Linked DNA regions of Rattus norvegicus. The protein of the gene in region 2 purifies or fractionates together with the protein of the main gene of each other region. This does not show direct contact. Links are inferred from orthologs where the notes say so. Each region holds a gene or a part of one and is shown on either strand. Other genes may lie near its edges. The genes, in order: Pkn1 and Kbtbd8.

Region 1 (3,820 bases), on a different chromosome or scaffold from region 2:
TAAAGAACAGAGACCCTTAGCACACCCTGTCCATCTGCCATTTTCCTCCCAGAATTCTGCATATTTAAATACCCTTTGTGGGCTTATTTAATTTACTGGGTTTAACCTGCACAGATTAGGCCTGGAGAGAGGGCTCAGTAGTTAGAGCAGTGGCTGCTCTTCCACAGGTTCTGAGTTCAATTCCTGGCAACCACATGGTGACTTACAGATTAATGGCTTGACTGATTTATAATGCTGGGCATGGAACCCAGGACCGTGTTCCTACTAGGTGAGCATTCTGGTACAGAGCTTCAACCTAGCCTAGGCATACCACATGAGCATATGACTGAAAAGAATCAGGGCCTGGGGCATCCTTGGCTCAAGAGAAGGAAGGTGCTTACTACACCAAGCCTGCTGGCCTGAGGGAGACCTCTGGATCCAGAGGTGGGAGGAGAGAATCAACTTCTGTAGTTGTCCTCTGATCTCCACACCTGAAGGTGTAGCACATGAGTCCCCCTCCAAAGAAAACAACATACAAACACAAAAGTTAAACCAACAAAAGACTCAGGCTCTGAGGGTGCAGCTTCGTAGTATAGTGCTGGCCTCGAGTGTGAGACCCTGGCTTCCAGCTTCTTTCCTTTTCCAAATGGAGAAGAGGCAGCAGGTAGACAGCGGCCAGGCACACTCTTAGCACTCGAGAAGCTGGGGCAGAATGATCAAAATGGAAGGAAAACGAGGCCAACACCAGGGTGAAGGCACCTGCTGCCATGACTGACAACTGGAGTTTGAGCCCTGGGACCCACAGGGTGGAAGGAGAGAACTGACTCCTGCAAGTTGTTCTCTGACCTCTCCATGAGCGCTCACACTCACATAAGATAAAGTGAATGGTAATAAAAATTGTAAAAAGAAGCCAGGCATGGTGGCACATGTCTTTAATCCTAGCATTTAGGAGAGAGAAGGCAATCTCTGTGATTTCAAGGCGTGCCTGGTCTATAAAGTGAGCTCTAGGATAGCCAGAGCTATGGAGAGGCCCTGTCTCAGACAGATGGATAGATGGATGGATGGATGGATGGATGGATGGATGGATAGGTAGATAGATAGATAGATAGATAGATAGATAGATAGATAGATAGAGATAGGCAAGGCTGATAAAAGCACAGGCACCATGTACCAGCCTGAGCCCAGCGATGCTGACCACCAATGGGCCAGCCTATGGTTAGCTAGCCTACCAGAGCTAGAAGTGCTTGAAGGGGTAGAAAGGAAAGGCATGTCTGGTAACCACACGCAGTCTCTCCATGGCATGGCTGCGACCCCAGCACCCACGCAGCTCTCATCATGTTCACAGAGTCAGTTCCTTATTTCTTTACCAAAAAATAAAACATCTATGGCTACAGAACTAGAGGAAGCTCATGACAGCTGCACCCCCACTTCTTTTGGTAACCCCTATCAATAGAGCAACACAGTTTGTCCTTAATATAAATTTTTTTCCTTTGTGCTTTAGATCAACAGCTCCCTAACTGACCTTAAGGCCCACTCCTTAATAAGAGAGAAACATGCCAGGTACTGGAAACCTAGCCAACTCTCCAGGGTTGGTGAAGTCATAGACCTTGGAGGAGACCCGACAACCACCACTATACTAAACCAGCATAACCCCTACCTACACTCTAAATATTATGGTGACCAGTGGTTCTCAACCTGCAGGTCGTGACTTCCTGGGGGCAGGTCGATTGACTCTTGAACAGGCCACATAAGACTATCACAGATAGGGGCTGGGGATTTAGCTCAGTGGTAGAGCGCTTACCTAGGAAGCGCAAGGCCCTGGGTTCGGTCCCCAGCTCCGAAAAAAAAAGAACCAAAAAAAAAAAAAAAAAAAAAAGACTATCACAGATGTTTACATTATGATTCATAACAGTAGCAAAATCCCAGTTGTGAAGTAGCAATGAAAAGAGTCTTATTTTTCACACCATAAGGAAGTGGTGGTACCCGTATTAAAGGGTCAGCATGGGCAAGGTTGAACACCACTGCCTGACACCCGCAGGTCAAGTGGTCCTCACCCTCATCAAGGAAGCTTCTCTACAACAGATGGAGACCACGACTGAGAACCACAGCCAGTCAAAATGCAGAGGTGTGTGGCCCAGTCCCAGGGATACAGCTACAAAACACGTCCATGCCTAAGGCTCAGAGAGCACTGAGAGAGGAAGAGGGGGGAGCTATAAGAGCCAGAGGACTGGGGAGGCGGTGTCAGAAGCTGCACCTGTCACTCAACAGCATAACCACCCTGTGTGAGCTGGACAAGGACGATGACAATAGGAACGCCACAGTGGATACGGAAAAGCCCACAAGGCCCAACCCTTCTGAAAGTACTACAGCCGATTAAAGTGTGCTTCGAGTAAGAGAGAGAGAGAGAGAGAGAGAGAGAGAGGCTGACTTCCCAAAGAAAAAGTTACCCAGTATTAAATGGCCAGACTTGAAAACATACAGAAATGTGACATTATGCACATTGCACAAAACGTCTGTAGGAATATATAAATATTTATACATACATAGATGCATGCAATTAGCAATTAATGAAAAAAGGGGAGGCTATGAATTTGACGGAGAGGAAGAAGGGGTTTACAGGAGGATTTGGAAAGAGAAAAGCTATATTACAATCTCAAAAACAAGAGAAAAGCATCCCGTCCCCCCTAGAAAATCTGCTCCACAGCTGCGGTGACCTTTCGTTCCCAGCACAGGAGTCACGCAGGCACCTCTGCTGCCCCGTCACAGCTCACACTTTACGTTTGGTCTTTCCTTCTTCAGCCCAGATGGAAGCCAGAGCTGCAAGCACAGTGCTCAGGAGTTCTGCTACTGAGCAGACTTTTGTCCCCATGACCAGCCCCACTTTGGCTTCTGAGACGCGGCTGGATATGTAGCCTAAACTGGCCTAGGACCACTATGTAGTCTCACTCACACTCAAACTTGTGGCGACCACTCTGGCTCAGTCACGCCACTGCCGGAAGATAGGCTGGCGCCACCTTGCCCAGCTTCCACACTGATATTTTAAGCAGGTATAGGAAACAGGGGAGGAGCTGGGGATGCCGTTGCCTAGCGTGCAGAAAGCCTTGGATTTCATCACCAGTACCCTACAAACATGGTAATCCCAGGATGCAGCGGACTGAGGCAGGAGTTCAAGAGTTCAAAGCCCGAAACTATACTCAACAAAAACAACTGGTCTTGTTCTCCTGGATGATCCTGGGTTAGCATCAGATCCCCTAGGCTCCCCTGTGAACACTCACCAGGCTACATGAGGTGGAGGGCAGCCCTGCGGGGCTCTTCTGGGACGAGCTGTCTGAGTCAGCACCGAGATTCAATTTCTCCATGGATATGTCTCTGCAGGAGAGGGAGGAGAAGGAGTTGAGAACCCAGGACCCTGGGAAGCAGGAGCAACAAGTGGCATTGGGCCCACACTCCTTCCTTACCCAGTGCTCCGGATCTCAGAGCCTGGAGATGCATTGGGGCTGAAGGAGCCAGTGGCCACGGCGTTCGGGATGAGTCTCCGGAGCAGCCGCACCCAGGTGGCCACATCGATGTTCATCTGTCTGGCACGCTGAAATGTCTGCCCTGAAGTTGCAAGGGTAGGGTCACCACCCATGACATCCTGGGGTCCTTGGCTGTCCAGCCCAGCTCACTCAGGGCCTCCTTACCTTGCTGCTTGGAGAAAATTTTTTTCTGCCTTTGGAGCCTAGGGATCCGCTCGATGATGGGGTTACGGAAGGTGACCTGTGGGGACATGCTCAGCTGCAGTGGTGGCAGGAACAGATGCACCACAACCTATGACACCAAGCGTCCCTGAGGACGCGTG
Region 2 (3,820 bases):
CTACGTTTTACAGGGTAGGTAGCATAAGGATTCTTCATCAAAGGGTTATGTTTATATGGCAAGGGTGGTTTCCTTGACGATAGCAAAGCAGGCGATACTCCTAGTAGTACTTAATACTTCCTAACCATAGACTGTGCTAGAACATTCACGTAGAAAATCAAGGTCAAAAACATTTAAATTTTTAAAATATTTTTAAGTTACTGAAATGGTTGGTCCTTTGTTTTTGAGTTATGTTCAGATCTCATATAAAGTTTTTAAAAGCATAATAAGTAATAGTTTATTACTGACTACTTTGGAGCATTTTAAAATAAACAATAAGCAAAGGCTAATCACCCGGCTATTTTTGTTCTTTAATAATATAATCAAGAGACTTGGCTACAACTCTTTTATAGAACTTACTGATTGAGTTTACTGGAATTGACTGTTCATTTACCAAGGAGCTTTGTTTTTCTTCCAAGGTTTATTTTTCTTTTATATGTCTGAACATTTTGCCTGCATTTATGTCTGTGTACCAGGTGCATGCCGTGTTCACAGAGGCCAAAGGTGTTGGATCACCTGGAGCTGGAGTTATAGACAGTCGTAAACTGCCATGAGGGTTCTGGAAGCTGAACCCAGGTCCTCTGGAAGAGTAGAGCCGCAAGTGCTTTTAAACACTGAGCTCTATTTCCAGTTCTACCAGGTTTTTGTTTGTTTTGAATCTTATGTAGGCATTTTGCTTGAGTGTATGCGTATATACCACATGCATACTTGGTGACTGCAGAAGCCAAAAGAGGAGAACCCTGGAACTAGAGTCACAGATGGTGTGAGCTGTCCTGTGGATGCTGAGATTTGAACTTAAGCCCTCTAAAAGAGCAGCTAGTGCTCTTAGCTGCTCACTCACATTCCAGTGCCCACAAAGAGTTTCACTAGTTATGAAACTTTATTACAAAGGCTTGAGATTATCATCTTTAGATCTTAGCTTTTTAAAAATTGTATGTATACGAGTGTGCAGGTCAGACATTATTAACATTGGCTGTTTCTATTGTTGGCCACCTTATTTTTTGAGACAGGCTCTCACAGACACTGGAGCTTAACAATTAAGTCGACTAGCTTGCCTCCAGGTCCCTCAGGAGTCTGACTTTCTTTGCTTTTTCACTGCTGTGGTTATGTAGGTGTGCCACCGTGCCCTGCTTTTTCATGGATCCTAAAGGTCTGAACTCACATAGGTTACATTGCAAGCACCTGACCTGCTGACCCCCAGTCCCTTTACATTTTCTAAGAATATTTTAGTTGTTGGAATTTTGAATGCAGTTTAGATTATTCCAAAATTCTTATTTACTATGTTTCTTAAGGGATTATATTCACATATTTCCTTATATGACTACTTTAATAAATCAGGAACAATGTAGGTTTTCATGAAAATATACATGATTATTTTTAAGCTCTATCCCATTTTTAAAAATGATATTCTTTGCTCTAATCCTTTGACTTAAAATTTCTCAGAGAAGCCCGGATATGTTTGATTTAAGTTGCTTATTAATTTTGTAGAATTAATTAAGGTATAGTACTAATGTACTTTAGTTAAAATGAAAGCATGGTTTGGATTTATCTTTGTAAAATATAGGAATGGTTATATCTAGTGTGATGAAGTGTGAAGTGTGAAGTATGTCCCACCCCCACCCATATGTGGTACTGGCAAAAATAGTTTATAGAGATAATTTTAAGGCTCCTAATTGGAGTATGTAGGCTGTATATTAATGTAAATATTATAGCAAAACAGCAATAACTTAATACATTTATGCACCAGAGCGAATAATTTGTAGCCAGAGGTATAAGAAATGTGTAGACAACTGGGTCATATAAGATGTCTTAACTCCCATGTTCTTTATCAAGAACACCAGAATATAAGTCATAGTAGAAAGAAAAGGTAATATGCAAGCAAAGGTTAGGGCTTAAATAAAAGTGAGGTTGAAACGTCACTCTTATTAAGTATGTAATTTAATCTATAGATGAGAATGTCCTTACTTTAGAATAGTTTAAAGGGAAGCTTTACTTAGACTCTAATATTCTTTTCTAACCTACAAAACCTTCTTACATATATAACCTGGTGATAACTGTCAAAGAAGGTTATGTCTTACAGATTGAGCATTCCTAATGTAAAATGCCAAAATCTGAAATCTGAATTTTGAAATTCGAGACTTTTTTGATGTGGTTCTACATTTTATACCCAACCTTATAAGAGGTCACAGTCTAAACGCAGGCACTAAAGATACCGTAGTAATCCGTGTTTTGACATGGAGTAATCCCCAGGATATTTATGTACATGTAGATACTCTGAGATCTGCAGTACTTAGAGTGTCAAGCACTTCAGAGAGAATATTCCAGCCTGCTCTGCCTATAACTGCCTGTCTCTAGACTCTAGTCTCCATAGAGCTGTTACCTACTATCATGAGACATTATTCTGTGTTCCCATTAAGCTTCACATAGCTGCCCATACCTCTAATTCCCGCTCTTGGGAGGGTAGGGTAGGAGGATTTCAAAGTGAAGATGAGCCTGAGTTCAGGCTAGAGACCTTATCAAAAAACAAAGCAGTGTTATATCATTAGCAAGATCTTGGCAATATTCACTATTTTAATTCTTACAGACATTTTCCTATTGACAGTCTGGCTCAGTGCACACACCTTTTTATTGTCAGTTTAGAAGAGTAACTGACTATCAAGTCCATAAATTGTTTGTTGTCTTTGCTTTATAACAACATTGACATAAACACACGAGTGACCACAAGTTCAAATCTAAACAATTCCATATGCTATTTTCTAACCAAGTACCACACATGTATGTGATGTATTTTTTATGGTTAAGTTGTATGTGTTCATGTTGCCTGCCTTACTCCTCCTGGGTCATACATCCCAGTGCAGATTGGGTGTAGTATTACTGTTACTTTGTATATTCTAGGAGTCAAGAATTTGGAAGGAAAATATTGTCTTCTGAGGTTGGAATTAAAGATACAACTAAACATGAAAATGTACATAATTGTTTCCCTTTTCTTTTTTAGGAGAATTTTTCCTCTTCTATGAGCCTCAAAAAGACTACTGGGGATTTTTAACCCCCATGACTGTGCCTAGAATCCAGGGCTTAGCGGCTGTGTATAAAGACTCCATCTACTACATAGCTGGAACCTGTGGAAATCATCAGCGTGTGTTTACTGTTGAAGCCTATGATATTGAGCTAAATAAATGGACTCGAAAAAAGGACTTTCCTTGTGATCAGTCTATAAATCCATACCTTAAGCTGGTACTTTTCCAGAATAAACTTCATTTATTTGTGCGAGCTACTCAAGTGACTGTTGAAGAACATATCTTCAGAACCAGCAGGAAAAATTCTCTTTACCAGTATGATGACATCGCTGACCAGTGGATGAAAGTGTATGAGACCCCAGATCGGCTGTGGGACCTTGGCCGCCATTTTGAGTGTGCAGTGGCTAAACTCTATCCTCAGTGTCTTCAGAAAGTTCTTTAATAAATAGCAGGCCAAAGCACGTCACTGGCATCTCTCATACTAAGGAAGCTTGTTTAGGAAATGCTGTCAACATTGAAGAAAGCTAACAGTTTTGTATTCAGAAATGGGTGCTCGTAAAGATAGTGGTGTTGGGAGGGATTTGCTTTTACCTTCATGATTTTTTCATTTTAGTCAGGAAAGGTAACAAAGTGCAATTATCAGCATTTTTCCACCCCTGGCATAAAAGTATCATCCTAGAATTTTGTGATAAATAGTTGCTGAGAAACCAGGTGAATTCAAGACAACTATGCACTCTTGAAAAGCAGAGTATTCCTGGGTAGAG

Evidence for each region.
Region 1: the proteins of Kbtbd8 (region 2) and Pkn1 purify together in Homo sapiens (affinity purification with western blotting; 3 studies listed by BioGRID and IntAct, with this or other methods). This does not show direct contact. The link is inferred for Rattus norvegicus from reciprocal best matches to the Homo sapiens genes KBTBD8 and PKN1.

What each region holds. Positions count from the first base shown.
Region 1 is NC_086037.1:41,367,097-41,370,916, reverse strand, and holds part of Pkn1 (serine/threonine-protein kinase N1), read right to left. Parts: intron 3,739-3,820; coding exon 3,663-3,738; intron 3,580-3,662; coding exon 3,438-3,579; intron 3,349-3,437; coding exon 3,255-3,348; intron 1-3,254. UniProt on the Homo sapiens protein: PKC-related serine/threonine-protein kinase involved in various processes such as regulation of the intermediate filaments of the actin cytoskeleton, cell migration, tumor cell invasion and transcription regulation.
Region 2 is NC_086022.1:129,239,363-129,243,182, forward strand, and holds part of Kbtbd8 (kelch repeat and BTB domain-containing protein 8), read left to right. Parts: coding exon 1-14; intron 15-3,034; coding exon 3,035-3,498; 3' UTR 3,499-3,820. UniProt on the Homo sapiens protein: Substrate-specific adapter of a BCR (BTB-CUL3-RBX1) E3 ubiquitin ligase complex that acts as a regulator of neural crest specification.